Linked DNA regions of Macaca fascicularis. The protein of the gene in region 3 binds, or shares a complex with, the protein of the main gene of each other region. Links are inferred from orthologs where the notes say so. Each region holds a gene or a part of one and is shown on either strand. Other genes may lie near its edges. The genes, in order: S1PR1, LTB4R, GNAI1, SMO, MTNR1B, FFAR4 and GRM2.

Region 1 (4,082 bases), on a different chromosome or scaffold from region 3:
TGATGCAGTTCCAGCCCATGATGGGCAGGCCACCCAGGATGAGGGAGATGACCCAGCAGGCGCTGATCAGCAGGAAGAGGCGGAAGTTATTGCTCCCGTTGTGGAGTTTCATTTTCAGCATCGTGATATAGCGCTCAATGGCGATGGCGAGGAGACTGAACACGGAGGCTGACAGGGCCACAAACATACTCCCTTCCCGCAGAAACCACTGGGCGGGAGTGAGCTTGTAGGTGGTGGCCCCAGACAAGAGCAGGTTAGCTGTGTAGGCCACTCCTGCCAACAGGTCTGAGAGGGCCAGATTGCCAATAAAATAGTACATGGGTCGGTGGAATTTCTTGGTTTTCCAAATAGTCAGCAAGACAAAGATGTTCTCGAGGATGATAAAGCAGCAGATAAGAATGAACACCACCGAGGTCAGTTTAATGCTGTTCTCCCTGTCCGCGCTGGTATTCAGCTTTCCCGTGTAGTTGTAATGCCGGACAATAATATCATAGTTGACGTAGTCAGAGACCGAGCTGCGGAGGGCCTTGACCAGCGGGACGCTGGTGGACCCCATGGTGCCAACCCTGTGTCCCCAGGAAGTCGGGGTGGCGTTACTCCAGACGAACGCTAGAGGGCAGGGCGAGAGAGCCTTCACTGGCTGCAGGGGTGGTTCGATGAGTGATCCAGGCTTTTTGTGTAGCTTTTCCTTGGCTGGAGAGGGCCTCGGAAACCGCAGCCTTAAACAAGTCAGAGGAGAGAGTCAGGGAAAGAGCCACAGCATACTGGCATAATTCATTCTAGCTAAGGCACTGCTCCAATTGTGTTACTGTTGATTTGTTTTAAAGAAACTTGGGAAGAGCTCAGGGAGAGAGAATTTTTTTAAAAAATCACTGCTCCTACTCCTGTAGGTTCCACAATTGGGAATTCACCTTTTTTCCAAACTCCATAAATCACAAGTGCCCAAGAACAATCTGATTGAGTTGGGCTCCTTAGTAGCCCAGAGATGCAAATTTTCAGCGCCCAGAGAGATTAAAAAAAAAAAAAAAATCTTTTTTTCTTCCCTTTTTTTTTTTTTTTTTCCAAAAAAGGAAGAGGGGGAAGAAAAAGAGGGAGAAACTCTATGGCCACATTCACTCAAAGAGAAGTGGGAATTATGATGTTGGCTGTGGGTTGACCAAAACAAAAACAAAAACAAACAAACAAAAAAGAAGATGGAAAACAAGGAGTGGGGGGAATGGGAAACCTAGAGAGCACACCCCATTTTAACCCCACTCCTGCCCTCTCGCCACCCCCCACCCTCCCACCCCCGTATTTCCAGCCATGAAATTGTCTGAAGCAGTCACCAGCTCAGCTGCACGCTCAACACCAGCCCACGTCTCTCCTCGGAAAAGACTAGACTGCCAGTCTGAGGGTAGAGACACACACCTCTGTTCCCCATGCCCACCCCTAGCTCCCCTGTTCAAAGAGACGAGCACCACCTCCTAATTGCCATGCAAGAAATCAGATTTGCAGGAAAATCACTTGAAAGCGTAAGTCATTTGGGGGCTCTATTAATAACTCTCTAGGAGCAGGTGTGCCTAGGGTCGGAGGGCGCAGTGAGGTGTGGGCAGCCAGGCCCGCCCCGCCTTGCAGTAAACAGGAAAGCTTAGCGCCTCCGTGAAGCGACTGCCTTTTCTTTCTTCTTCTTCTTCTTCTCCCCGCCTCCCCCGCCCAACCGCCCCCAAGCCAGGGCAAGTAAATTTAAAGGTATTCAGTTAAAACCATTCATAACAGATTGCAGCAAATCCCAGAAGTTTCGTACACTAGTTGATCGCATAAATATTTTTTGCTTTGTTTAGTTTAGCCAAAACATACACAAAAGAGAGAAATCAAACTACTCATGACAGCAATAATACATGCTACCACATTTTTAATTTCGAGCGCAAAACTACTCTTCAGAAACTCACATTAAACTGCTCCCTGGTGCATTGCTAAATTTGCGTGGGCAGTTTTATTTACTGCCGTCCCCCAACACGTTGACTCCTCTCCTAGGACTAGAAAGTTACAAACAAACTAACTTTCTAAGACCGCACTGGTCAGCAGAAGTCTACTTCTAAGTTGCTTAAATATTTCAAGGTAATTCAGCAGTGCAATAAAATGAGGTAATAGAGATGAGAGCAATCCCAGCAACTCCGCGAACAGCAGAGGCTGCTCAAGCCAAGAAGCTCCACATTTCCCCCAACTAATTTTATACCCTGCTCCTGGGCAGTACTAGTTTAAGCCATTACCTACGCCCCACACCACCCACCATATTCTTTGTCTATAGGATTTCCAAAATTTAGCACCTTCCCTACTACTCCTCCGACCAACCGCAGCTTTCACTGCCCCTACCCCCATAGGTTCCACAGTTGGGAATTAACCTTTTTTTCCAAACTCCGTAAATCACAAGTACCCAAGAAAAATCCGATCGAGTTGGGCTCCTTAGTAGCCCACAGATGCAAATTTTCAGCGCCCAGAGATGCATGTTTTCAAAGTTTTTGTTTGCCTCGTTCGGCTTAAAAATTCGTTTCTGACACCTAAGCCCTACCACAGCCGGGCTCCCCGCGCCCGCAGTCCCCCGCCACTCGCCGCCCCCTACCTCGCTCAAGCAGGGCGAAGTTGCGTTCGGAGAGCCCGGGATCTGTACGGCTCGCTCCGCATCTTGCTGCTGCCCCCGACTGACTGCGTAGTGCTCTCGCAAACTTACTCGAGTCGGGGTCCCCTCCCTCCGCAGCGGAGCACTCCAATGGCCAGTCCCGCTCGCCGCGGCCAGTTCCCTGCCTGCTACGCGAAGTCACCCAGCGCCGCGCCAAGGCTGGGTGGTTTCTTCAGGAAGACGCTGGGAGGGGTTAATGCCTTAACCCCCCACGCCCTCTGCCAGCTAGGGGCCCCCGGATCTGAACTGCTGAGAAGCACTGTCCAGGAAAGATCTGGGGCAGAAGCAAAAAAAAAAAAAAAAAAAAAAAAAAAAAGAACTCCTCCTCCGCAAACAACAAATGAAAGAAAAAAGAGAGAGAGAGAGAGAGAGAGAGAAGGGGCGGAGCCCGGTAACCCCTGGATTCTAATGTATAAATCACTGCCCTCGCCCAGATGCACGCTGATCCCTGGCGGTGGAGAGGATTCTCCCGAGCCCCTGAAAAAAAAGGAGGTGGAGAGACTTGGGAAACTTTTCTCTCGAAAAGTCTGAAGGGGCAGAGGACGGCCCGGAGTCTCGTAGCGCACCGCCCTGGTCCCACACCCCCCGCAGCCCTAGGAGGATCGGTGTGCTTAGCTTGTGACCAGGAGCTCCCCGAGCCACTTTCACGCGGGCAGCAGAAAACCAGAGCCGCGGCCCGGCGAGTCTCGGCGGCGCTCTGGGGAGGAGACGCTGGGAAGGGGCTGCGAGAAGTACAGAGGAAACAAGCAGCCCGGGAGGGAGAATGGACCGGGAGGTTCCTGTTCTCCCCGCGCCACCCCAGATCCTGGTGCTCCTCGAAACTGCGGTCTGAGAGGGCAGTGGATTTCCCGGAGTGCACAGAGAAATGAACCAGCGCCGGTTTTGGTGTTGGGCAAGGGGTTTCCCTCAGCTGAGCGCAAAGTCAGACTGTGTGTCCCAGATTCTGGCCAATGGAGAGGTCGTTGAGGAGGTGGGCTGCTGCCGAGTCCTGAGAGATTCAAAACGCCTGGGCAGCTCCGGAATTTCCGAAGGGGAAGATTCTCGGCCCCGCGATGCGGAGCAACTGCAGCTGCCCAGCAGGGGCCGGCACCCTTCTCTCACTTTCTGCTTGAGAGTCGACTCAGAGGCCTCAAATCTCATTACTAGCAACCTGCCCACCCTTTTCTTTTGCTTAGATGCTACTTAAGAACGTGAGGCTGAGAGGCGGCCTTGGTCAGATCTGCCTGCGTGACAAGCTCAGGAGGCTTCTGCCCTTGCCCTACTGTTGTAAAGGTTTCCACCCAGTCCCTGGTCGCACTGCTTTCCCATCCCGGCAGATGTGAACTCAAAAACTTCCTCCGCTGTGCAGTTTCAATTGGCAGACACACCCTGTACCTGAATGACTCAGAAGGAGGCAGAATGAATAAACAACAGACCCCTGACTTCT
Region 2 (4,128 bases), on a different chromosome or scaffold from region 3:
TGTACTATGGACTGATGGAGGAGGAGGGGGCAGTGCCTGCAGAGCACCAGGTGAGGTAGAGGAGAGGCCAAGCCAGTGACTAATTGGGAGCCAGGCCTCCTAGGGTTTAGCAAGCCTCTGACTTCTGAGGTGAGAGTGGTGACTTCATCCAGGTGGAGGTGGCAGTGTTCTGGGGATGGGCTCATCCACCTGGCTTGTTGGTGCCTCCTAATTTCCTATCTCTGCGCTCCCAGGTGGAAATGGCAGCAGCCAGGGCCTTGGGGGACGTAACAGTCCTTGGGTCTCTACTGCTCCAGCATCTGCTGCACTTCTCCACTCCTGGTCTTGTACTTCGAAGTCTGGGTGCCTTGACGGGACCACAACTTCTGGTCCTGGCCCAAAGTCCTGCTGGCTCTCATGTGCTCGATGCCATCCTGACCAGCCCTTCTGTGACGCGCAAGCAGCGCCGCCGTGTGCTGCAGAACCTAAAGGTTAGATTTCTGGCTTCTGCCTTGATTCCCCACCATCATCCATTTAGAGAATATGAGCTTTCTCAGGACTGTACCTTCAGACTCCAAAAGGCTATGTAATTACTAGACTATTTTAATTCAGCCCCTAAACTCTTCAGAAAATTCACTCCCCGCAAGCCCCCAAAATACACTTTTGTGGACTTTGCTAGGGAGACCTACTTTGCTTGTCTCAATACAGGGACAATATGTGGCTCTGGCCTGTAGTCGCCATGGCAGCCGTGTGCTAGATGCCATCTGGAGTGGAGCAGCCTTGGGGGCTCGGAAAGAAATTGCTGCTGAGCTGGGTGAGTACCAGCCCCTCTCTTTGATGTTTCCAGACTTCCCTTCTCTTACTCCAGATCACTGGGTGGCTGGGAAGTCTACTGAAATTCAACAGTCTTTAGTTCCAAAGGGTGGTCTTGCTCATGGGTTCTTAGCAGTCTGCTTTCCCCTTCCCTCCCGCTGACTAATTGTGCAGTCCTCTGCCCTCACCCCTCCCTCTGACTTCTGTTCTTTGGAAAGTGAAGTGTTCACTGTACCCCAGTGGCAGGGTCTGGGGGAAATGGAGGGACCTTTACCTCAGGTAGAGTCTGTCTTTGAGCATGGTGGTACTAAACATGAGTGGTTCCCTTTGCAGGGGAGCAGAACCAGCAGCTGATAAGAGACCCTTTCGGCCACCATGTGGCTCGAAATGTGGCCTTGACTACCTTCTTAAAGCGACGAGAGGCTTGGGAACAGCAGCAGGGTGCGGTGGCCAAGCGGAGGCGGGCATTGAACTCCATACTTGAAGACTGAGGCTTTGGATCTGGGACTGCGTGTTGATGGGGGAGGGCAAAAGGGGGTATCCACCCCATCTCTTTCCTGGTTTAAATTGGAGTCAAAAGTCGTAGTGGTAAATATTTTATATTTTTATTGGAAATGTTTTTGTTAGTTTGTGGTGAAGGATATGAAGACATCTCAGGGTAAAGTCAGAGGGCTGTCATCAGTGTGCTGGGGAGTTTAGGGACAGGAGGCATTGGTAGGGGTTAGATGTAGCAGCAATCAGGCTGGGATCAAGATGCCTGGGGGACAGGCTTGTGGCCTTTCAGGGCAAGTGGGAGGCCAGAAAGGTGGCTAGGAAGGGACAGCATTCTTCAGGTAAAGGTACAGACTTGGGATGTGAGGCATTATGCTGAAAGGTTCTCTGACAAGCGGATCAGAGGACAATGGGGAAATTGGGTGAGTTATCTAGCCTGTACTGTCTGCAGGTCCTGAAATTTGATGCTGTCATAGTCTTTGCAGTGTGTCTCTTGGAATGATTCTGGGGGCAGAAGCTCAGAGCCCCTTCTTAGTAGGAATGGAGGCGGCCCTTTTGCTGCCACTGCTCAGCCCCCTCCACTACATGACGAAGGGTGGAGGAAATTCCCAGCAACATATGGCCCAGGCCTTGCAGCAGTGTGGAGGTCCAACGAAGGAGCTCCCTGAAGGGCAGAGATAAGAGGAAATCAGATGATTTGGGAAACCTGGGAGGAAGCCATCAAGCCGGGAGATGAGGATTTTCCACAAGCAAGAGCTAACTAGGGGTAGGTGGGTGCAGGAGGAGGAATTATGGGGACTATCCAACTGTAGGGGATGGGGAAGTATGACATGTTGATTTCTGACCTGAGTACTTTCTTTGGGCCGAGTCCTTGAAAGTCACAACTCATAGAGTAGAGCCCGTAGAATGTGGCTTTGACATTCAGGCTGCCAAAGAGGTCTCGAGGGTTTTGCTTGTACACGTCAAAGGTGATGCGGGCGATGTCCTTGCTGTGCTTGGGCCTCTCCCGTCCCAGGCCATATGACAGCACTCCACTCTGTAGGACACCCTTGTCAGTGCAGTATATCCTCACACCAGACACCCACCACTAATCTCCATCGGCACCGTGTCAGACTCTCCCTCGCTTAGGCTTTCTGTCCACTGTGTGACATCCTTAACAATTCTACAACTCCCCCTGCACCTGGTCCCCAGGATCAGGGTTAAGCTAGAGAGGAAGCCCGGGAAAGCTCTAAAGGACGGGCAGTGGAAGCAGCTCCAATATAGGCCTCTTACCCTTGCGGGGCTCCAGCTCTGACCAGACTCCAACACCATCAGGCACGTGTCATCCTCCAGCAGCTGGAAGAAGTCCTCACTGTCCACTGCAGTTCCATCCTCCTCTAGCACCAGGGTTAGCACTCCATTCAGCAGTAGGGTCTCCAATGCCTGCCCAATGGCAAGAAGCAAGAAGGAAGGTATCCCATGCCCCTTCCCTCTTTAGCTGCCCAACATCCATCAGTTGGCTCTAGACATTGGTCGATGTCCCACCTTGACTTTCCGGCACTTTGATACCTCCTAAAGGCTGCAGCTCTCCGTGTTCTTCAGGTTTTGGGGGATCCTAGCTAGAGGCTGAGCTTTTTCCTCTTTGCTCCTACCATGTCATTGGCATCTCCCCTTGCTCCCCTCCAAGTCACTCCTGGTTTGGAATTGGAAAGCAAGCCAGGTTCTCATGAAGTCCACCCTTCTGTCTTATCTACAATGCTGCACCTCACTTCCCACACCCTCAGAGTTCTCCAGAAGTGTTTTCAGTAATAGTGTTTAACCTTTTTGAGTCCTTACTCTGTGCCGGGTATGAGGACTTTACCTACATTATCCTCTTACTCCTTTCAACAACCCTAGGAGGTGATGTGTTATTATTGCCTTTTTATAGATGAAGAAACTGAGGTTTTGATAGGTTGAACAACTTCCCAAGGTTTGACAGCCAGGAAGTGGCAGAATCAGAATTTGAACTTGATTTGTCATACAAATTGCCTTCCATACTGGCCTCTGAATTCCATCCCTCCAACTCTCCCTATTTCCTGCTAACCCCTGCTCCCATAGAAAAGCTCACTAGGTGGAAAATGAACAAACTGACCGGAACTCATGAGGCCCACCCCACTGAGCTCTCAGTGGGAGGAGGCAGCTGTGTGACTTCAGCCCTCTCTGCTCCATCATCACAAGTTGCCAATGTTGTGGAGCCCCTTGGCTACCCCTGCTAAAGGAACCAAGGAACTTGGCCTACTTACTTTGGCTAGCAGCTCCTGGCGGGTGGCAGCTGTCAGGCCTTTCCGGATGGTCCGCTTGTGATTACAGACACGGAAAGGTCGCTGGGGTGGTGAAGCTGAGGTCCAGACCCTCCGTCCAAACTCCGAGCTTATATTAGATACTGACCTGGTAGTTGAGAAGAAAAGTCAAGAAGGGGCAAGAAGGGGCTTAGTGAGTGTAAAGGGCGTGATGGGGGTAGAGTGGCTAGAGGGCTAGGGAGGGAGAGATCTAGGTTTATAGATGGTAGGGATGAGGGAGAGACCATGGAGTACAGGTGGGGGTGGGTGGGTCAAGAGCTTGACAAGCCCACTATGGAGTGGGGAGCAGAAGAGGAAGGGGTACTGGTTAGTGTCCTAGGGGCTGAGTGGAGTATTGTTGCCCTGCTTATATCCCCTAAAGGTAGAGGGTAGAGCGGAGGGTTAGCAGTCACCTGAGTAGGTCACTGGGGTTCAGAGCTGAGAGGTACTCCATGGTGGATGGGAGAGTTCCTTCCCTGGAACTTCTGGGCTGGGTGGTTCTCTCCTGTGCTGGGGCTTTAGTGGTGTTTTCTGTTACAAACCTGGG
Region 3 (3,500 bases):
CCTGCTCCTCCACCATTCACGGCTAGGCTACATTTAATTAAACATTCACTGAAACCAAAAGGGGAGGGTTCTTTGGTAAATATAATCATGTTAATTGTTATAGCTCTTTTTGCGTACTGTGAAATTATACTTCAGTTCAAACTAATTTCACACAGTTACTTTAAAACTTTGCTTTCTTTTTGGAAGTCATAGTCCTGAATCACTGTGTTCAGGAACATTTTTTTGTGCTTATTGGAAATAAGTTATCCAGAGTCAAGATGGCTTATTTTTTCCCTTATTTGAATATATTTTTTAGTTTATTTTTATCGTATTCTATGATGTAGCCATTTTGTATTAATTCATAGTACCAGAGCCCCAAATGAATCCATAAATATTGTATAGCTACAGGGATTTCAGAACAACTAAGAATATACTTGTTAGCTCTTTCCTTGCCAAGTAGACAGTGTGTTTAGGAATTTTTGCTTGTGTTTTGCTTAATAATCCCTAACTTCAGAATCTTTGCACAAAAAGAATATTACATAATTCTTTCACATCTCCAGAGTTAAGATTATTATTTAAGATCTCCATGGCATGCCCTAAGTATTGATTCAGTTGCTTCTTGCTTCAGCCGCAACTCTCAATTTCCTATGGCTGTGGAAGAACCCTGTGTAGCCCCTAAGCAACTTGCTTGATTTATCTCCTGTCTGTCTGCTCATGTGTCATCCTTCTCCTCCTCTTCTTTTTACTGTATGTTGCCACTTTACCAGTTTCATCTGCAGTCATGTCATCTTAGCTCTCTATCCTTTCGTAGTCATAGCTATTCTCAATAGGTTAAATTTTATGGTCAGCCCTAATTTATCTCTGGAGCCTTAGATTTGCATTACCAACTGCTTGAACATACATGTTTTTTTGTTGTTTGTTTGGTTGGTTGGTTGGTTTTTTAGCACCCGAAGCTCAAACAGAACTCCTCTTCTTGTTTAAACGCAGATCTCTTCTCTTTCCTTTTTGATTCTGTCATCAGCCTCCCAGTTCTTCATTTTTGAACCTGGTTATCACCTGTGCTTACCTTTGTTCAGGATAATTCTATCTCACATTAAAAAAAAAATACCATATTTGCTCTCGTGTCCCTGCATTGCCATTCTTTTCTTAAGACTTAAAATCAGAATGAAGAATGTTCATTCATGTGTGTTGTACTTTGAGGGTAATCTAGCTAGCTGCCTAGGATATGTAGAGCAAATTGAGGTAGGCACTCAATGTAAGCTGTTTGGCTGAAATATATTTTAATTTAGCAGTTGCATTAGCTTCTGTGGGCCAACAAGATGCTGTTAATTGCTTTAAAATTTTGGAGAACGAAACTTAGGATTTAATAAAATTTGATTTTTTAAAGTATGTGATTTCTAGTGATATAAAATAGTTAAAATGTAAACTTAAAGACAATAACTTTATTACCTTTTTATCCCTAATAAAAATCTCATAATCTGTATCATAGCACATTACACAACATTCCTATGGGCATTTGTCACATTGTATTATACTGGATTCTGTAAGATATAAAAGGAGTATGGGGCTGGTGGGGTGTGATGTTTACTCTTGAGGAGTTCACATTCTAGTTTAGGAGACTCAACACTGAAAAAGAATTTAAGACTTTAAAGCAGTATAACAAAAACTGAAATAGTTATTTCTAGGAGGAGACAAAAGTTTTTAAGTGATAGAGAACCCAGCTAGATTTGATTAATTAGGAAAAGTTAGATGGAGTGCCAATTTTGAGCAAATGTGAAGGCAGGCAGAGATCTCAGCCGGTAAAGTAGAATGAAGAGGAAGTACTGCAGTACCACAGGTGGCAGTTTGCATGTTGGGTCCTCATGACATGGACCTGGGTTGAGCACCAGTGTGGAGGAGAGGATCTCAGAATGATGGCACTGCAGAGCAGGCTGGATAGTAGAAGACCTTGAAAGCCTGGCAGATAATTTTGGATGATTAATTTTTTTATTGAAGCATTACATATAGCATTACATTGTATACATTATGTATATTATGTACGTACATATGTACACACACACCCTCAGCATAAGTGCATTTTTAAAGGTGAACATACCAGTATCCACCACTCAGGTGAAGAAACCAAACAGCTTCAAGGCCCCAGAAAGTCCCATCATGCTTCCTCCCAGTCTTAACCAATCAAAACCTCCCCGCAACACACACGTACACACTCACATCCGATACACAGAGTAATCACTGATTACTCACTGATAATCACTGAAGACCTTAATAAAAGAACGGACACAAAGGAAATATATACCCACTTCACATGTGCCACAGACTCTATTAATTGGTGAGACTTTTGTCCTCACCAATTCATTTTTCAAACAGTGTTGTATCATACAGTATGTGATCTTTTTGCATCTAGCTGCTTTTGCTCAATAGTTCACTTATGAGTGAACTCAGTTATTGAGTATAGCAGTAGTACTTTCATTCTCACTTCTTCTGTGTCTTCAGTGATACACAGTTCTGTCAAGTGTATATCTAGAAACTGAATTGCGGGGTCAGAGTGTGTGTGTGATTATCTTTAGATATTGCCAAACAATTTCTGGAGTGTTTGTACTCAGAGGGAGTCTTTTTTAGTCAGTAACCTGAAAGCTGGAGTGTGTCATTCACTTTTTTTGTAACCTCATACTCCTAAACATCATTGTAGACCTTGGTACAATTTTTGAATAAAGAAAAATGAGTGAAGAATGCTAATTAATGTATATATAGAAAAGGGAGGAAAAAATACTGATCAGCATTCAGCCAACATTTTTTGATCCACCGTTGAGCCAGAACTGAAATAGCATGCCGTCATCAAGCATCTGAGTTGGGGTGTAGAGGACAGAAGATAAGAGGATAAAAGATCTAGCCTTTGGAGATTGAGGCAGGAACAAAGATCATGATGAACACGGAATGCCATGTAGAGGAAATTTTTTGTTTAATTTTAGGGATAACTTACAGTCATTAAAGGTAATTAACATGGAGTGTTTTTCATTTAGAAGAAATAGTGTCTCCCATTCTAGAAGGGAAAGCACAGTTAAGGAGTCCATGAATGAAGCTGTATGAAACTGACTTCAGTATTTTAAGCAGTTATTTTAACTTTCTACATTATATTTCTTTCCTTTTTCCATCTCAGGATCAAACACATATGAAGAGGCAGCTGCATATATTCAATGTCAGTTTGAAGACCTCAATAAAAGAAAGGACACAAAGGAAATATACACCCACTTCACATGTGCCACAGATACTAAGAATGTGCAGTTTGTTTTTGATGCTGTAACAGATGTCATCATAAAAAATAATCTAAAAGATTGTGGTCTCTTCTAAGTTTTGCAGTTAATGGTAAAATGCATTTTCAAACCAAATGAGTACTTATATATGGATCTCTGTAGACTAGAGTCTTGCAGCAACACAGAATGTAATATAAGGCAAATGCATCTGGGACCTGACCAAAGTTGTTCTGTTTTGTTTTTTTAACTGAAAGTAACAGAAGGACC
Region 4 (4,243 bases), about 29 Mb from region 3:
GATTACAGGTATGAGCCACAGTGCCCAGCCTCTATGTCCTGATTCTAACTCCTCCTACTCATACTTTAGTCCTGGATTCAAAACCCACCTCCTCTACTTCTATCCACGCTGACCTCTCTCCCCTATTACTATAGCATACTCATGGTACATCTCATTTTGGCAGCTTCTTTATCAAGTGATTAATGTGTATGCTCAAGTGAACTAGATGTTTTGTGAACACAGAGAATGAGATAAGATCCCTTCCCTGGAGGAGGAAACGTTGCTGTTTTGTCATGCTATGTTTCCTGAGAGCAAGCCATGTATCCACAGGAAAATGGAAGTCTTCAGGTTCTTCCAGGGTGTCTCTGTGCCATGAACATGCTGGAATTTCAGAAAGCTTCGCTAAATTGAATTAAATTCTCTCTCTCTCTCGCTCGCTCACTTTCCAATTGATTTAGTTGAAGTGCAATAGCTAATATGCACTTAAACTGTCCAAAGTAACAGAACTAGTCCACTACCGCTAGGCCGTGAACGACTCTTCCAGGCGTAAGAAAGGAAAACCCACCCTGGTGTGCTGCCCGATTAGCAACAAGGAAAAAGTTGCTCAATGCAAGTCTACTCTCCTGGTGGGAGCCTTGTGGTTATGCTGGGTTATACTTGGTTGTGCAGGTGTAAACTGCTGCAGTGGGAAATTAAGTGTGGTGACCAAAGGCGTGATGCGCAAAGGAGTGAGGAAAGGCAAAATGAGCAGAGTGGGGAAGAGGAGTAGCAGAAACCTCCCAGAGCAGATGAGCGGCAGGGCCATCAAAGAAGGACTGGCTTCCTTCTCACATCACCAAGGCCAGTCCCTGGGAACCACAGTTCAGACTTCACATATTTGTAGCAGTAAAGGCTTGATGTTGGCAAGTTTATTTCCCAGACACCTGTTCCCGCAGGTAACAGCAGCCGGAGCAGCTGCTGTGAGTGACTCTGAGGTCATCTCTTTCAAAGGTACCGAGCTGGAAGGATTTGGAGAAGCACAAACCCCAAACCCAGGTTCTTCTCCATGGGGCCCCGGGATCAGTCGGAAAATCTAACCAAAGCAGGAAAAACTGGCGAGCCTGGAGAACGGGGCAGAGTTGGAATAGAAGTCCCCGTTGACTTCAGGCATCCCTGTCTCTCCCACCCTAAGCCAGGAGAAAAGTCCGCTTCCTGCAGACGACCTCAGACCAACCAAGGTGCCCGCCGAGTCTCTACTTGCAGGTCCGGCCCACGATTTCCACCCATCTCTTTCCCCCTGGCGCGGGGCGGCGGCAGGCGGGGTCACCAGATCCCCCTAGCCCGGGCCCCTCCGGGCGCCGGGGACGCTGACGCTTGCGCTCCTCCTCTCTCGCCTCCCCTCCCCATCTCTCCCCTCCTTCTTCGTCCAGTCCCTCCCCCAGCCTCGGCGCAGGGGGGCCGGGCTTGGCTCCGCGAGGCCCGTGCATTCCAGAGAGCCCAGCGAGCTAGAGCAACAAAGGAGCCGAGTTGTCGGCGAGGAGAGCTCGGGGGGCTGCGGCGCGCTGGGGTGAAGGTGGCTCCCGGGCCGCGGGCTGGCGCGGGGGCGGAGCCGGAGCTGCACTCGCACCCCCGGCCCGCGCCTGGCCTCCCTCGCAGGGCTGGGAGTTGGCTTTAATGGTGGGAGAGGGAATGGGGCTGGGGATTGGGGGCCCAGGGGGCTCCCAGGGCTGAAGACAACTTGGATTGCGAGGCGAGAGCTTTGGGAGTCGTGCATCCCGGTCCGGGCCTCCGCAGCCCAACATGGGCCCCAGGTTCCAAAGTTTGCGAAGTTGGGCGCCGAGGGGCCGGGGCGCGTGGAGCGTCCGGAGGGGCCCGGGCCCGGTTTCTCTGGGCGCACAGGTCGCATGAGCCGCCTCCGCGCCCGCAAGGGTCGTGCGTGTGGCCGGTGGGCTCCGAGGAGCGGGCGGGGGCGCCGGGGTTTTTGCTGAGTTGGCGGGGTTGGCCATGGCCGCTGCCCGCCCCGCGCGGGGGCCGGAGCTCCCGCTCCTGGGGCTGCTGCTACTGCTGCTGGGGGGCCCGAGCCGGGGGGCGTCCTCGAGCGGGAACGCGACCGGGCCTGGGCCGCGGAGCGCGGGCGGGAGCGCTAGGAGGAGCGCGGCGGTGACCGGCCCTCCGCCGCCACTGAGCCACTGCGGCCGGGCTGCCCCCTGCGAGCCGCTGCGCTACAACGTGTGCCTGGGCTCCGTGCTGCCCTACGGGGCCACCTCCACACTGCTGGCCGGGGACTCGGACTCCCAGGAGGAAGCGCACGGCAAGCTCGTGCTCTGGTCGGGTAAGTACTCCGGAGCCGGGTTTGGGGGGCGGGAGGTGCTACGGTAAGACGGGGGCACCCTTGGAAAGAACAGGCTCAGGCCTGAGCCTCGGAGAGGGCGGGGACAGCACCCAGGAGAGTTGGAAGGACAGAGTCCGAAACTTTGGGGGCGGGTTACGTGCAGGATGGGACCCTCGGTCATGGGAAAGGGAGGGCAAGAAAGTTGACGAAGCGGGTCACAAAGGTCCCGAGCTGGTGGGTGAGCAAAGGATGGCGGGGATGAGGGGCCCGTGAGGAGGGGGCTCTAAGCCACGGGAAAAGACATTTTGTAAGAAGAGGAGATGCTCCACCTACTCTGGAAGCAGGGTGCCAGGGGATTCAAGGAGGTGTTCAAGACCCTGGGGAAATTGGAGTTGGAGAGGAAAAGGGGAGGGATGACGGTGGAAGAGGTTTAGGCATTTGGAGGGAAGGGTAGGGGGACATGATCAAGTGAAGTTTTGAAGGAAATGAAACCTCCTTAACGATGAGTTATTAGAAAGTGACCAGAAAGTCCTGGAAATCTTGATTTGGGAGACAGGAAAGAATCCTGGAGAACTGTGATCTTGTCTGACTTTCACAGGAGATTTCATTCAGTTTGTGCATCTGAAAAACGGGCACTCTGACGCATGCAGGAGGTTATGAAGGAATAAGACCTTTCTAACGATTATTTGTGTGTTCTTTGGAAATTTGGTTACCCAGGCTGGTCAGGGCTGTGGAAGGACGCTTAAGTCTGGAGTGTTGAGAGCCTGTGGACACTTCCATGGTGGTTTGAAGTCCCAGAGCCCCCTCACTGGAGTGGCAGAGTCTGAAAAACTGCACACTGAACCCAAATGTCCTTCCTTAGCAGTGTAGAGTATACGCTCTCCCCACCTGTCACTTTTCTAGATGAGGCCTGGAGGGTGCTGGGGAAGGGAACTGGCCTTATCAGCCCTCACTTCTAGCCAGTGTGATTCTAAAACCGTTCTTGAAAAAGAAAAGAAAACCAGGAGCCAGGAGCAGAACTGGGAGCCTCCCTCTTTTGACAGGGCTGGGGTACCCCATGTCTTAGCTCTGCCCAGGGGGCTGGTGAGGACCGTAATGTAGGGAGTGTATGTAGGCCGCCTGTCATTGACAAGTTCTCAGCCTTTGTCAGATGTTGGACAAGTCCATAAGGTTCCTGGCTTGGTTCAGATGCTGGAGGAGGAACTTGGAGGATGGTATCCATGGTACCCATAAGGTGGAGCTGCATCCTTTGTGGGGATCAGGTTCTAAAGTCAGCACAGCACGTTAGACAGAAACCATGTGTAATCAACAGTGGTTTTGAAAACTCTGCAGATTACTGTAGTGTAAGGTTGATGTCGTTTTGCATATACACTCCTTTTACGACGTTTGCATAAATGTGTTACATGTATACTCATACATAACAATGGGTATACATAGAAGATAATAATTGTAATTTTAAAGTTACGTTCATGCAAAAGACTGAAAGAATAATAGTAATAAAAAGAACACCAAAGTAAGATTAAGCAAGGTTGCTTTGAGCACCACTTGAGTTTAGGAGCGAGCTGAATGGAAAGTTCAAATCTCTCAGCACTAGAATCTTACCCAGTTCTGAGTTGCTCATGCTGTCAAAGGATAATCTTTCTGTCCCTCTCTTTATTGATTTTGCAGGGACCCATGGTTTAATTTTCCCAAGTTAAATGCATGTTTGATGTTGCCTCCTTGCAGTTACCATCAGATCAAGGAGGAAGGGTATGAACCTCTTTCCAGCCCATACTCTTGAGAGCAGCTGCTGAGCAGACAGAAGTAGTTTAAGCTGGAACATGTATGAGTTAGTACCATCTGCTGGTTGTGCAGGTTGAAATCTCACTGTCTGTGCCTTTTGGCAGGGTAGGGTCCTGCAGAGACGCCAGCACTGAGCCCAGCACCATTAGTTCCATTAGTTCACTATGAGTT
Region 5 (4,183 bases), on a different chromosome or scaffold from region 3:
TATCCCTGAAAAAAAGGACAATTAATGTAACCACTCACCCTGCCATCAGGAGCGACACTGTTAGGGATGATACAGAGCTGCTCCGCAGGGGATGGGTTTGTGATAGGCAAGTAAAGGATACTGGTGTCTCCTGGGAAACATGCTGTGATCTCAATATGGGCTCTGCATCTTGGTTATCGGAAATATATGTATTCTCATTGTCACAGACTTAAGTTATTAATACCAATGATTTAAGGAGCCAGACTTCAGTATGGAAAGGACTGAAGAAACGTTTCTTAAAGTAAATCCAAACTCTTCAGTAAGACAAGGCCTGATTAAGAGTAGAATGGGTGCTGTAGGTTTTAAGTACCTTTTGAAATCTCACTCTGCTGAGATCATTTAGTTCAAGTCAGTACTACAATTGTTTGTGACTATCACCAATAAAGCCAGTGGTCACATAAGAACTGGTTAAATTGCAACACTGTAGCAGTGGCAGGAATTGATGTCATTTAGATATAGTGTTATTTATTTATTTATTTTTCCGGTGCTGGGCTGTAGCAGACACATCGGGAGGTAGGAAAGATAGAAGAGAGGATATGCCAGCAATTGAACATGCTCATGACCCTCCCCAGTGACGCTCTCAAATTGGGAAGGATTCTGTAGACCCTGCCAGGATCACAGAAAAGCCCAGCCCTTTGTAGGAGGCAGTGGGGGAGGGGTGCTTTTCTCCTTCCAGCAGAAGGAAGCAACTCCTACTTCCCTCAACCACCTTTCTCACGGTGGGCAATCCAAATTACTGAGTAGGGAGCCACGGCCTGACAGACCTGCTCTAAATACTCAATAAGTCAGGGACAGAAGGGGCCAATGTCAGAACCAGGAGGGCCGATTTCTCCCCCACAGAGCCAGGAGTTGTCTCCCTTTTGCCTCCCTGTTCAGGGAATGAATGTTTATGATGGCTGCAAGGGACAATGTCTCAAAAATATTAAATGCAGTTTTCTAATCATAACCTGTTCTTCCCTAATATATAAGCTTTTCTTCAAAGGACACAATATTTTGAACAATGTATTCCAGAAAACAGCCACCACTACCGAAGTGGCTGAGTTAGAAAGCTTACTTCTTCTTCATAATGTTATGTTTCCCATTTGATGGCTGGATACTCACCGTTGGAGCAGTTTCTTGTTTGTTTTTTTAGATAAAAATCCTAGAGTCAGCCGGACGCGGTGGCTCATGCCTGTAATCCCAGCTCTTTGGGAGGCTGAGGCGGGTGGATCACTTGATTTAGGTCAGGAGTTTGAGACCAGCCTGGCCAACATGGTGAAACCCTGTCTCTACCAAAAACATAAAAAATTACCCGGGTGTAGTGGCACACACCTGTAATCTCAGCTGCTCATGACCCTGAGGCAGGAGAATCCCCTGAACCTGGGAAACGGAGGTTGCAGTGAGCCTAGACTGTGCCACTGCACTCCAGCCTGGGTGACAGAGCGAGAGACTCCATCTCAAAAAAAAAAAAAAAGAAAAAAAGAAAAAATCCTAGAGTCACAGACCACACCAAATAGATATTACCATTTGCTAAAAATGGTCTGACTCCTTAAAAAAGCATTTTTAAGCTATACAATTGTTTTTCTGCTGCTATCTTTCCATTTTAATTCACTCTAATATTTGAATTTGCCCCCAAGGCCCAACTTGAGAGACTGCAAAATTAACAGGTCACCGAGCTCCCTCCTAGGCTGAAATGGTCAGCATGCCCCATGACCTGTGAGGGTGAGAGTTCAGACACCGACCCCTCCTCCCGCACTCTGGTTTTCTTTCTTTGAAGACCTGACTAGGGGAATATTGAAACGAGAGTGAATTGAAATAGGAGAAATATTTTCAGGTTTGCAACACGATTTAGCCAAGCCATTGCTTTAATTTTCACAGTTAATCCCAGGAATTCCCAGTCTTCAGAAAAGACTACAATATTTCAAAGCAATTTAGTGCAGTCCAAGCAGAATCTGCAATTTCTGCATTTACACTCTGTCCACTGGAATTGGGTCTTCAGATGACCTGGAGATAAGTTTTTGACACAAAACCTACTGAAATGCTTCCATTGATTAACTCATTTTTTCAGCAAGGATTTTCTAAGCAACTACTACATAAAGCTACAGTGCTTGGCAAGGAAGGAAGTGGGGTGTCAAGCACAAGTGGTGTTCTGTGGCCTGATGTGGGCACCTCTGGAAAGGCACACATTGGAGCGCGACGGGTAGCGATGGCATCCAGCAGCGTGGGTTCCCACAGCGCCAAAAAGCGCGCCAGTAAAACTTTCCGTAATTCCCTCTGTGCCAAGTGCATCCTGGGCAGTCGCATTTCGGAGGGGCAGAACTCACCCTAACTTTTGAGTGCAGAGTCAAACTTAGGGACTAGGTTAGAGTGAAGGGAAAGGGGAGCCCGGGCTGAGGAGGGAAAAGGCAGCGCATATCCCCGGGTCAGGGACAAGACCAGAGGACAAGGAAGGGCCCGACCCCAGCACCCAGCATCAGGAATGGTGCTCACCTGCGTTTCGGAGCTTGCGGTTCCTGAGCACGGAAAGGATCACCAGGAGGTTGCCCACAACGTCCACGGCGGTGGTGACGATGAGCACCACGGATAGCGCGGGAGCCACCCAAGGAGGTCGAGGGGTCCTGGAGGGTTGCCCCCTGCCAGTACCCAACCAGCCTGGGCGCACTGCCCACCCGCCGGCTTCGCAGCAATTGGCGAAAGAGCCGTTATCTGACATTGCAGACTCTCCCGCGCTGCGCTTTGGCCACCGCGCGGCCTCGGACAGCCGCAGGGCTCGCGCAGTACTGAGCCGGGCGCTCCCTTCCCTACCCAGCTCCCGTGTGCAAGGGAGGAGGCCAGTGGGGAGGGGTCTGGAGGAGATAACTAATTAAGCGTGGGCAGGGGATGGAGAAAAATATAGGAATGGGAGGAGGACTTGGGGTGCAACCGTTGCAGAAAGGAGTGCGTCTCTCAGCGGTGCGCTCAGGAACAGCTGGGACCACACAGCTGTCTCTGCCACCCCGCCCCCAGCACGTGCCTAGCTCATCTCAGGCCGCGGAGCGCGTCTAGCCTCTGTTCCTCGGTACACAACTACACCCGAGACCCCGATTTCCTCTACAGCGTCCCCAAGAGAAGCTGTGTCCAGCTAGGAACATCCAACCCAGGTTTATAGACTGGAGAAGGTGCTGATGGTCGGGACCTCCCATCAGTTGTTAAGCAAGGCAAGGTTTGAGGTCCCACAGGGCTGTGCAGCTCGAAAGAGAATGCAGCTCCTAAGATGTGGGGACAGAGCCCAGAACATAGTAGTGTAGACTTGTATTCTAGGGAGCTGCAGAAAAATAGGAACCTAGCCATTTTCCGAGCACTCGCTGGGTATTGCGGGGGACATTAGTGATGTCTCTACTTGGTCCTCTTTATAAAGCCAATATTTTAGTATATTTACCAATATATATTTACACATAATACTTAAATAGATGTATGGCCAATATTGGGGGTTGTGATGTGGTTTTTGGAGGGGTTAGGACAAGAAAACGAGTGAGGCATGATTACAATAAAGAAGGAACTCGGGTGCCCTTTATTAAAAGTGCTTGAGTCGTGATCTGGTGATAATAATAATAGATAACTTCTCTTGGGGGATAATCTTATGCCAAGTTTGTCCTAAGCACTTTTCACACCCACTAGAATCACTAAAATCAAAATGACTGATTATCCTAAATTTGTGGAGGAAGTTAAGCAACCAGAACTCTCATACAGTGCTTTTATGAGAATGCAAAATGGTACAACCACTTTGAAGAGCTGTCTGTTAGCTCCTAATAAAGTTAAACATACACCTATTCTATGACCAGAAGTTCCAAATGAAAAGGAAAAATATTTCCACAAAAAGACGTGCACAAGAACGTCCAGAGCAGCCTTGTTTATAGGAGCTCAAATCTGGAAACACCCACAATTTCCATCAACAGAAGAACGGATAAACAAATTGTGGTATGACCTTGCTATGGAATACCTCTCAGCTATAAAGATGATTGACCTACACAACAGCATGAATTGATCACAAATATGTTGTATTGAACAAAAGAAGCCAGATACCAAAAAATATGTACTATATTATTCCAAGTATATGAAGTCCAAAATCAGGAAAAATTAATATATTTTCTAATAGAAATCAGAAAAGTGGTTACATTTGAGGGTG
Region 6 (4,280 bases), on a different chromosome or scaffold from region 3:
TCTCGCTCCGTCACCCAGGCTGGAGTGCAGTGGCGTGATCTTGACTCACCGCAACCTCCACCTCCTGGTTTCAAGCAATTCTCCTGCCTCAGCCTCCCAAGTAGCTGGGATTACAGGTACCCACCACCACACCCAGCTAATTTTTGTATTTTTAGTAGAGACAGTGTTTCACCATGTTGGCCATGGCTGATCTGGAGCTCCTGACCTCAAGTGATCCACCCGCCTCGGCCTCCCAAAGTGCTGAGATTTCAGGCATGAGCCACTGCGCCCAGTCAGTACTTAGATTTCTTAAGATCCAGCCTTAAGAAAGACAATTAGAAGACAGAATGGGCAACTGGGAGAGGCCTGGTAATATGGCAGAGGGGAGAGGGGGTGAAGGTGTGGGTGGTAGGAGGGTGGCTGCTTGGGGAAGTGGCCACTGGATCTTAGGCCACAGGCATACTTTTCCATCTCCAGCTTCCTCATTTACAGAAAACCAGACTGCAGTGGTGTGATGGAAACACGTGGGACGGGGACAGGTGACTGACTTTCATTACTAACCAGAGGACAGCTTAGACAAGTCACTCTGGCTGGGCCTCAGTTTCCTTATCTCTAACAGGACTGGATTGCCCAGTGCTCCTCAGACTGTGGCACCTGGGGCACATTCATAGCTTGTGTGTGTATCTGGCCTTGAAATATCTGTCTTCCCGGGATGGCAAGTTTATTAAAAAATTTGGAAGGACTCACCCTTTTTACAAGAAAGCATTTTATGTCATTGTTCAGAATGCAAAATATATATGCATTTTAGTTACAATAACATTTGATAACATTTAATGAGTAATTACTGTGTGCCAAGTGTGCCAAACTCTAGGTGAGCTTCACAATAGCCTAATGAGGTATTATTATTCCCATTTTATAGATTAAAAATCTGGGGTAGAGGGAGTAGATAATCCACCTAAAGATCTGTTATTAAGTAGTGATAAAAGATCTCCACTACCTCTCTCCCCCACAAAAAATATGGACTCATTACAAGTTGCTTTAGGATCTACCTCCAGACCCATGGAGTTTCTTTAGTAAAATCTGAACGACACAGGCCAAAATAATCTCCAAAGGCCAGCTCTGACACTTTTAAATCAATTTTAGCTAAATCCGTTCACAAAAGGCTTCGCACATCCAGTGTCCCTGAAGGATGAAGGAGGTTAGGCAGGCCCTGCGGGGGCTCGAGGAATTCGCTAAGTGAGTTTTCTGGCTTCTGAGTACACTTTAAAATGGCCAGAGGGCGCGAGGCTTCCGGCTAGGCCGCCACCTCCCCGCCCAGCTGTGGTGTTTGCAGCCAGTGTTGTCGGGCACTTCCTCGTTCCCGCGCGCCCCGGGCGCAGCTCCCTGCACCCAGCGCTAGCGCTCCTCAGAAGGGAGGGGGCCAGAGGTGAGATTTCGCAACCGCCTCCCTCCCTCTTTCCCCGCCTTGGCACTCAGTAGTCTCCCAGATGAGCACTCTCTCAGACCGCTGCGGGCCGCCAGGCGCCGGGAATGTCCCCTGAATGCGCGCGGGCAGCGGGCGACGCGCCCTTGCGCAGCCTGGAGCAAGCCAACCGCACCCGCTTCTCCTTCTTCTCCGACGTCAAGGGCGACCACCGGCTACTGCTGGCCGCAGTGGAGACAACCGTGCTGGCGCTCATCTTTGCAGTGTCGCTGCTGGGCAACGTGTGCGCCCTGGTGCTGGTGGCGCGCCGACGACGCCGCGGCACGACTGCCTGCCTGGTGCTCAACCTCTTCTGCGCCGACCTGCTCTTCATCAGTGCGATCCCTCTGGTGCTGGCCGTGCGCTGGACCGAGGCATGGCTGCTGGGCCCCGTTGCCTGCCACCTGCTCTTCTACTTGATGACCCTGAGCGGCAGCGTCACCATCCTCACGCTGGCCGCGGTCAGCCTAGAGCGCATGGTGTGCATCGTGCACCTGCAGCGCGGCGTGCGGGGTCCTGGGCGGCGGGCGCGGGCAGTGCTGCTGACGCTCATCTGGGGCTACTCGGCGGTCGCCGCTCTGCCTCTCTGCGTCTTCTTCCGAGTCGTCCCGCAACGGCTCCCCGGCGCCGACCAGGTGAGCGCCCCTCTGTGCGTGCCGGGCAGGTGTCCTGCGCAGGCTGGGAAGCGGGGCCCCGACGGGAGCTGGGATAAGGATGATCAACAACAATAGCCATTTAGTGCACTTAATCGTTGTGCCAAACCTTGTGCCCATCTCTGTGAAGTTTAATCTCTTAAATCTCACTACAACGCTGTGCACACGCCCTCCTAAATGATGAAAGTGGAGTCCCCCAAATTCTTGCAAAATGCAATGACTGTTCCGAGGTTAATTAACGAGTAGTTTAGGAGCGAGATGGAACTTTGGGGGTGCAGGGTGGCCAATCACTTTGTATTGAATCATGATTCCTCGCCAGGTGTTACAATACTGTTATTATCACGCCCATTTCACAGATGAGAAGCAGAGGCACACCGAAGTGTATAATAACTTGCTCAGAGTATTTTACCCGTAATTCGAGGAGGAGTTGGGCTCCTTCCAGAAGTTTATCGGTAATTCAAGGAGCAGTTGGGCTCCTGTCCAGGGTTGGGTTATGGTCCTGCTTTGAAAGCGCGTGGGCAGGCGCGTATGACCTAGGGACCCCAGATGCAATGCTGTCTTTAGGGGACTTGTGACGGAATTCCCTTCCGGGGTCTTCAGTATATTTCAGCTGCACAACGGAAGGATTACACTAGACCTTCAAGGTGTCCTGGGCGCCTGAAATGTGCAGATTACAAAGGCTGGGCCGACGAGCTCTGTTTTGCGTAGCGGGTCCATAGTTGTCATTATTAGGTCATGGGGGGGGGGGGGCGGTGGGAGTGACCACCATCTGAATAAGGTTCTGTGGATAGTGCAGGACATTGGATCGGGTCCCCTCGAGTCCCGCGGTCCGGAATCCCGAGCTCAGGTCTTTTTCTTCTGCCGCTTTGTCCCGTGGTTGCAGGGTTCGTGCGCCGAAATCCACCCGGGAGAGTAGACTTAGACGCGGCGTCGCGGTGGAGGACAGTGGCCGCTGTCTGGCTGTCTTCCCAGTGTGTTTGGTTCTCCGTGCCTCGCGGAGAGAGATAGGGAAAGGACCTGGGTCTGTGCGCTGGGGGCTCAGCCTCCAGGAGCGTCTGCCGTGGCTGGTTCTTGGTCTCCCCTTCCCTACCGGGGTCGCTGGTTTTCCGGCCCGGAATCCCCTGCCCTTAAGCTCCCTCTCCACGTAGGACTGAGTATGGGGTGCCCTGAGTAATCGTGACACAAACAGGAATCACAGTCCCAAAGAGGGACCTTCTAAGTGGTCAGAGAGGGGAGTAGGGAGGGAGAAATTACATGTCACCAGGGGAAGACTCAGTGATGGAGATACACAGAGCCCACCAGGGACACCCCTGGGTGTGTGACCCTCCAGAGCCTGGAACAGAGAGGTGGTGCTTCTCTGGGGGTTTTCCTAGACCTGTCTCTCACACAGCCCTTTATGGAGGGGATGGGGTAGGATGGATGGAGTCTGCCTCCTGTATCCTGTGCGAGTTTTTTTTTTTAAAACATAAACTTAAAATACTTGTTTCTAATGCTTGTGTGAAATACATTGTGAGGTGTTTGTTCGTTTATGGCCTTGAATGATTAACGGGCAGGAGCCCCATTAAGCCTGTGGCACTTGATCAAATAACATGCAAGCTTGTGGCCATGTCCACTCAAGAGGGGCCCAGAGAAGCCAGGATTAGCTGAGCAGTTGGGTGCCATTTACAGGCAGACCACGGGCTGTGGCTTAGTGGGCAGGCTTGCTCTTAGCCCACACACACCTGAGAATCAAGGTGGGCCACGCAGATGCCTCTGAAAGCACGGATCAGGTGGGGGCTGGGCTTCTGCTGTCAGTTTCTTTGATTTTTTTTAAATAAGTTATTCTCTCAATGAGTTATAGTACTTGTATATTTCTCACAGAACTTGAGGTATTTCACCTCATGTTCTTTCTTACGGGAGAAAATGATGTTCAGGGAATGAAAGACCAGGTAGAATGTATCTTGAAGGTATCTTAAGTTTTCTGATGTGTATTTTGTGCCTCTCCCTTTTTTCAATGATTTCAAGTATAATCCTAATTAATTGGCAAATGACATTAAAAAATAAGACTCTTGTCACTTCCCAGCCAAAGCCCAGACTAAAATTGTGTGCTGACAGGGACACAGGCGACTGTTTGGGTGAGAAGGCCTTGGCATAGGCGAGGGCCTTCCGTGTCTTGGCCACTTAGTGCTGTACCCCTGTTAGGGAAT
Region 7 (3,989 bases), on a different chromosome or scaffold from region 3:
CTCTCCCATTCCTCCTGCTCCAACGTCCTCTGGTCCTTCTTTCTGTCTGTGCCTCCGTCTTTGTCTCAACCTCTCAGGCTTGCTCGCTCCCTGCCCAGATTTTGTGGCCCAGGCCCCCGGCTGCCTGACTCCGGGTTTCTGTCCCCTTCCTGCCTCTGAGCTTCTATCTGGGCCTCCCCTGTGGGAGGCTTGCGACTTGACCAGTTTTGGCCTCAGCCCCCATCTGGGTCCCTGTCCCCATCTGTGCTGGTCTTCCTCCCCGCTTCTCCCTCGCTTGCCTGGGTGAGCTGCTTCTTTCCTGATCCCCAGAGGAGCCCAGTGCCCCTGCCCTGGGGAGGGGCAAAATGGAGAGGCCCAGCCTCCGTGGCCAGCACATGGGGTCCCTGAGTTAGTTGCTGCCCTTCTTCAAACTCAGTTTCCTTTCCTGTTCTGAGGAAAGAGGTATGTCCCTCTCCCAGCCTTTCCATGCCCGTGTGATTGTGAGAGCCTTGTGGGGTGTGTGTTTGGGAAGGCAACTGGGGTACAAATGATAGGACACAGTGGGGAAGAGACAGGGAGGGGGTCTCTGAGGGCCATGGCTAGGGTGGGCAGGACCCTGAAGCTGAGGATGGGGAGATTGGAAATGGTGACTTTCTCTGCTGGGTTGGGAGTGAAGAGAAAACAGAGGCACAAAGTCTCAAACAGCGTTCTACATAGAGCTAGAGAGTCCCGCACTCTCACCCTCAGCACTGTTTGGAGACTCTGGCCCCCAACCTTGACACACACATACATGAACATCTGCTTGCCCTGTTGACTTAGGACCTTGAGCCACTTTGGTACCCTCCCTGAGGCCAGCCATTCTACCTTGCTGTCTCATTCCCAGGGCTTAGTGTCTCTATTTCTTCCTCAGTCAGGAAACTGTGGGGATGGCTTTTTAAGAACCACAGGCTAGCACCCTTGGGTGTTCACATGGGCTCCAGTCTCCCCACGGGTTGGAGACTGTCCCTTAGAGACTGTCTTTTCCTCTTCCCTGGTGGGTCCTTAGACAGCAGTTCCTTCTCTCTGGAAATTCAAGGCTCAGGATGGGGACCTCTGAGTTTGTAACTCTGACATAGTCTGTTCCAAAGGTATTGACCTCAGGATCCTGGGAGGTTTATACTGTTCTTGGACACCCTTTGATTTACAGAGGGGTCAGCATTGGCTAGGGTCTCCTGTCCTCTGCCTAGGACTTCACTGCTTGCATCCCTCCCCACTGCTGAGTTTGGTAGGTGAATAGGGCCCATCTCTCACCCAGCTGAGGCCAGGGCTGAGAGACAGGCCCAGGGGAGTCCCAGGAGCTTCTCAACCTACTTAATGACACCATCCTGTCCCTTGTTCTTGAGTACCCAGGAAAGGGGCTTGTGGGGAGGCAGAGTCAGAAGGGGCAACTGCTCTCAGGCTCCACTTTTCCTGGTCTGTTTTTCTGTCTTTCTGTATCTCTGCAGGAGCTGGGTCCCTTCGCATCTCTCTTCTTGTCTGTCCTTTCCTGGTCCCTGTTTCCTCCTCTCTTTGCCTTCGCTGCTTCTAATCTCATCCCCTGGAGACCCAGGTCTGCTGGACCCATCCATCCCCTTTGGGGCCATGGGATCACTGCTTGGGCTCCTGGCACTGCTGCTGCTGTGGGGTGCTGTGGCTGAGGGCCCAGCCAAGAAGGTGCTGACCCTGGAGGGAGACTTGGTGCTGGGTGGGCTGTTCCCAGTGCACCAGAAGGGCGGCCCAGCAGAGGACTGTGGTCCTGTCAATGAGCACCGTGGCATCCAGCGCCTGGAGGCCATGCTTTTTGCACTGGACCGCATCAACCGTGACCCACACCTGCTGCCTGGCGTGCGCCTGGGTGCGCACATCCTCGACAGCTGTTCCAAGGACACACATGCGCTGGAGCAGGCACTGGACTTTGTGCGTGCCTCACTCAGCCGTGGTGCTGATGGCTCACGCCACATCTGCCCTGACGGCTCTTACGCCACCCATGGTGATGCTCCCACTGCCATCACTGGTGTTATTGGCGGTTCCTACAGTGATGTCTCCATCCAGGTACGTGGAGGCCACCCAAATGGGGGCTAGGGAGGGAGGCCAGAGGTGGTGACCCAGAATTCCTGCTGAAAAGGGAAACTAGAAGCTTCCCTGCAGTAGCTTTTACAGAAGCTAAGAAAGTGCCCTGGTCACATAATGGCGGTCAATTTTTAGAGACTGTGCAGGAGAACATCTTACTCCTATTACTCCCACCACACACACCCTACACACCCTCACACACACACACCCTACACACACACACACACCCCCACACACACCCCCCACACCCCCACACACCCCCTACACCCCACACACACCCACACACCCCACACCCACACCCCCACACACCTACACACACACCCACACACCAACACACACCCCATACACACCCACACACACACCCACACACCAACACACACCCCACACACACCCACACACCCCACACCCACAGCCCCACACACCTACACACACACCCACACACCCCCACACACCCCATACACAACCACACCTCCATCCCCACACATACCCCCACCCACACACCCCCAACACACCCACCCACACACACCCCCACACCCACACCCCAAACACCCACACCCCCACACACACCCCCACACCCACACCCCAAACACCCACACCCCAAACACCCACACCCCCATACACACCCCTACACACCCACACCCACCCACCCACACATGCACCCCCACACACACCCACACACCCACACACACCCACACCCACACACCCCCACACACCCACACCCATACCCACACCTTCACACCCCCCACACACACCCACACCCCCGACATACCCCCACACACCCATACCCCCCACACACACCCACACCCCACACCCCCCCCACACACACACCCACACACCCCCCACACACCCATACACACCCCCACACACACCCTCTCTCACACACACACACCCTCACCCTTGATGTTAAACAACCCTGAGGGGCTTAATAGCCAGGTCTCCCCACTTACTAACTGCATGACCCTGGCACGTTATTTCTCTTTTCTGTGTCACAGTTTCTTCCTTATAAAATTGGATTCACAACACTTTTTTTTTGTTTTCTTTTTTGAGACAAGATATTGCTCTGTCTCCCAGGCTGGAGTGCAGTGGTGAGATCTCAGCCCACTGCAACCTCTGCCTCCTGAGTTCAAGCGATTTTCCTGCCTCAGCCTCCCAAGTAGCTGGCATTACAGGTGCCTGCCACCATGCCCGGCTAATTTTTGTATTTTTAGTAGAGACGAGCCTGACCTCACCATGTTGGTCAGGCTGGTCTCAAACTCCTGACTTGAGGTGATCCGCCCATCTTGGCCTCCCAAAGTGCTGGGATTAGAGGCGTGAGCCACTGTGCCCGGCCCACATACTTTCTACTTTTAGGTTTGCCATGGAAATTTAATGAGTTGATACATGCATAGTATGTATCGGGGGCCTGACAAGTCATAAGGGCACAGTTGATATTAGCTGCTATTGTTTTTAACCCATTTTATAGATGAGGAAACCAAGGCTCAGAGAGAGGTGGGCCACATTCAAGGCAGTGGTGGAGGGGAGCTGTGAAATCGGCTCTTGGCCAAGGGACTCCTGACTTGTCAGATCATCTCTGCCTGGATTGGAGAGGGGTGGCCAGATAGAATCCAGGAGTGGCCAGAGGAGAGAATCAGGGCAGAGGAGTCAGGAGGAAGATAAACAGAACGTGTCGGGGGAGGGCACCAGAGAGTCTTCAGGGGGCACAGGATTTGAGGGGGTGGGAAGGGTGGGGAGCCAGCTCCCCTGCCCTTAGCCTCCTACTTTCCCACAGGGGCCAGCAGAGGGTGCCCTGTGGTTCAGCTTCAGCAGAGGCTGCTGGCCCCGCTGAGCCCTCTGCTGCTCCCAGAGCTGTGCCCAGCTGTGATCCTCCTGTCTCTGACTGGGTCCTACCTCTCATCCAGATTCCCGCTTGCCAAGTGCCCAGC

Evidence for each region.
Region 1: the proteins of GNAI1 (region 3) and S1PR1 are in contact, whole or in part, in a cryo-EM structure (PDB 7VIE), measured with the Homo sapiens proteins. The link is inferred for Macaca fascicularis from reciprocal best matches to the Homo sapiens genes GNAI1 and S1PR1. Residues at the interface, in NP_002060.4 of Homo sapiens: Ala31, Arg32, Glu33, Val34, Leu194, Thr219, Tyr320, Phe334, Asp337, Ala338, Thr340, Asp341, Ile343, Ile344, Lys345, Asn347, Leu348, Lys349, Asp350, Cys351, Gly352, Leu353, Phe354; in NP_001307659.1 of Homo sapiens: Arg78, Met80, Arg142, Thr145, Met146, Met149, Lys150, Leu151, His152, Asn153, Arg231, Ser232, Leu235, Thr236, Phe237, Lys250, Leu254, Thr257, Thr314, Asn315, Lys316.
Region 2: the proteins of GNAI1 (region 3) and LTB4R are in contact, whole or in part, in a cryo-EM structure (PDB 7VKT), measured with the Homo sapiens proteins. The link is inferred for Macaca fascicularis from reciprocal best matches to the Homo sapiens genes GNAI1 and LTB4R. Residues at the interface, in NP_002060.4 of Homo sapiens: Glu28, Ala31, Arg32, Leu194, Glu318, Tyr320, Thr340, Asp341, Ile343, Ile344, Lys345, Asn347, Leu348, Asp350, Cys351, Gly352, Leu353, Phe354; in NP_001137391.1 of Homo sapiens: Thr53, Asp114, Arg115, Ala118, Val119, Pro122, Phe123, Ser125, Gln126, Lys127, Arg129, Thr130, Leu208, Arg211, Arg212, Phe213, Arg215, Arg217, Arg218, Thr219, Gly289, Gly290, Gly291.
Region 4: the proteins of GNAI1 (region 3) and SMO are in contact, whole or in part, in a cryo-EM structure (PDB 6XBM), measured with the Homo sapiens proteins. The link is inferred for Macaca fascicularis from reciprocal best matches to the Homo sapiens genes GNAI1 and SMO. Residues at the interface, in NP_002060.4 of Homo sapiens: Glu28, Arg32, Glu33, Lys192, Leu194, Gln333, Phe336, Asp337, Thr340, Asp341, Ile343, Ile344, Asn347, Leu348, Lys349, Asp350, Cys351, Gly352, Leu353, Phe354; in NP_005622.1 of Homo sapiens: Arg261, Pro263, Ala264, Trp339, Ser342, Phe343, Ala345, Leu346, Gly347, Thr348, Thr349, Tyr350, Ser354, His433, Pro434, Gly435, Ser438, Lys440, Ala441, Lys444, Ile445, Glu447, Thr448, Arg451, Trp535.
Region 5: the proteins of GNAI1 (region 3) and MTNR1B are in contact, whole or in part, in a cryo-EM structure (PDB 7VH0), measured with the Homo sapiens proteins. The link is inferred for Macaca fascicularis from reciprocal best matches to the Homo sapiens genes GNAI1 and MTNR1B. Residues at the interface, in NP_002060.4 of Homo sapiens: Arg24, Arg32, Glu318, Ile319, Tyr320, Phe334, Asp337, Ala338, Asp341, Ile344, Lys345, Asn347, Leu348, Lys349, Asp350, Cys351, Gly352, Leu353, Phe354; in NP_005950.1 of Homo sapiens: Arg138, Tyr141, Ile142, His149, Arg150, Arg154, Ile223, Val227, Ala230, Arg231, Lys233, Ala234, Lys235, Thr252, Met253, Asn312, Asn314.
Region 6: the proteins of GNAI1 (region 3) and FFAR4 are in contact, whole or in part, in a cryo-EM structure (PDB 8ID3), measured with the Homo sapiens proteins. The link is inferred for Macaca fascicularis from reciprocal best matches to the Homo sapiens genes GNAI1 and FFAR4. Residues at the interface, in NP_002060.4 of Homo sapiens: Ala31, Arg32, Val34, Leu194, Gln304, Glu308, Lys314, Asp315, Glu318, Ile319, Tyr320, Thr321, His322, Phe334, Asp337, Ala338, Thr340, Asp341, Ile343, Ile344, Lys345, Asn347, Leu348, Asp350, Cys351, Gly352, Leu353, Phe354; in NP_001182684.1 of Homo sapiens: Arg71, Ala73, Thr74, Arg136, Cys139, Ile140, Leu143, Gln144, Arg145, Gly146, Ile230, Ile233, Thr234, Ser237, Arg238, Arg240, Leu241, Ser244, Leu245, Ala246, Tyr247, Ser248, His251, Arg254, Gln258, Arg261, Leu262, Leu266, Leu269, Met323.
Region 7: the proteins of GNAI1 (region 3) and GRM2 are in contact, whole or in part, in a cryo-EM structure (PDB 8JD5), measured with the Homo sapiens proteins. The link is inferred for Macaca fascicularis from reciprocal best matches to the Homo sapiens genes GNAI1 and GRM2. Residues at the interface, in NP_002060.4 of Homo sapiens: Glu28, Ala31, Arg32, Glu33, Val34, Asp193, Leu194, Thr219, Asp337, Asp341, Ile343, Ile344, Lys345, Asn346, Asn347, Leu348, Asp350, Cys351, Gly352, Leu353, Phe354; in NP_000830.2 of Homo sapiens: Lys599, Ala600, Ser601, Gly602, Arg603, Arg656, Ile657, Ile660, Phe661, Ala664, Arg665, Glu666, Gly667, Ala668, Gln669, Arg670, Pro671, Ile674, Pro676, Phe756, Val826, His828, Arg829, Ala830, Pro831, Thr832.

Annotation. Positions count from the first base shown.
Region 1 is NC_088375.1:133,172,650-133,176,731, forward strand, and holds the start of S1PR1 (sphingosine 1-phosphate receptor 1), read right to left. Parts: upstream 2,801-4,082; 5' UTR 2,708-2,800; exon of another isoform or gene 2,600-2,707; intron 720-2,599; 5' UTR 557-719; coding exon 1-556.
Region 2 is NC_088381.1:92,121,209-92,125,336, forward strand, and holds the start of LTB4R (leukotriene B4 receptor 1), read left to right. Parts: upstream 1-1,328; 5' UTR 1,329-1,380; exon of another isoform or gene 1,381-1,815; coding exon of another isoform or gene 1,816-1,948; exon of another isoform or gene 1,949-2,016; coding exon of another isoform or gene 2,017-2,050; exon of another isoform or gene 2,051-2,129; coding exon of another isoform or gene 2,130-2,320; exon of another isoform or gene 2,321-2,556; coding exon of another isoform or gene 2,557-2,706; exon of another isoform or gene 2,707-3,545; coding exon of another isoform or gene 3,546-3,690; exon of another isoform or gene 3,691-3,994; coding exon of another isoform or gene 3,995-4,035; exon of another isoform or gene 4,036-4,128. Other genes in the region: NOP9 (nucleolar protein 9), read left to right, coding at 1-50, 234-470, 688-793, 1,126-1,283; lipid transferase CIDEB, read right to left, coding at 1,816-1,948, 2,130-2,320, 2,557-2,706, 3,546-3,690, 3,995-4,035; LTB4R2 (leukotriene B4 receptor 2), read left to right, coding at 2,017-2,050. UniProt on the Homo sapiens protein: Receptor for extracellular ATP > UTP and ADP. The activity of this receptor is mediated by G proteins which activate a phosphatidylinositol-calcium second messenger system.
Region 3 is NC_088377.1:141,212,491-141,215,990, reverse strand, and holds part of GNAI1 (guanine nucleotide-binding protein G(i) subunit alpha-1), read left to right. Parts: intron 1-3,139; coding exon 3,140-3,330; 3' UTR 3,331-3,500. UniProt on the Homo sapiens protein: Guanine nucleotide-binding proteins (G proteins) function as transducers downstream of G protein-coupled receptors (GPCRs) in numerous signaling cascades.
Region 4 is NC_088377.1:170,650,043-170,654,285, forward strand, and holds the start of SMO (protein smoothened), read left to right. Parts: upstream 1-1,443; 5' UTR 1,444-1,962; coding exon 1,963-2,290; intron 2,291-4,243. UniProt on the Homo sapiens protein: G protein-coupled receptor which associates with the patched protein (PTCH) to transduce hedgehog protein signaling. Binding of sonic hedgehog (SHH) to its receptor patched prevents inhibition of smoothened (SMO) by patched.
Region 5 is NC_088388.1:92,034,631-92,038,813, reverse strand, and holds the start of MTNR1B (melatonin receptor type 1B), read right to left. Parts: upstream 2,801-4,183; 5' UTR 2,732-2,800; coding exon 2,509-2,731; intron 1,974-2,508; exon of another isoform or gene 1-1,973.
Region 6 is NC_088383.1:102,332,379-102,336,658, forward strand, and holds the start of FFAR4 (free fatty acid receptor 4), read left to right. Parts: upstream 1-1,480; 5' UTR 1,481-1,509; coding exon 1,510-2,076; intron 2,077-4,280.
Region 7 is NC_088376.1:114,721,917-114,725,905, forward strand, and holds the start of GRM2 (metabotropic glutamate receptor 2), read left to right. Parts: upstream 1-1,189; 5' UTR 1,190-1,332; coding exon 1,333-2,049; intron 2,050-3,989. UniProt on the Homo sapiens protein: Dimeric G protein-coupled receptor which is activated by the excitatory neurotransmitter L-glutamate. Plays critical roles in modulating synaptic transmission and neuronal excitability.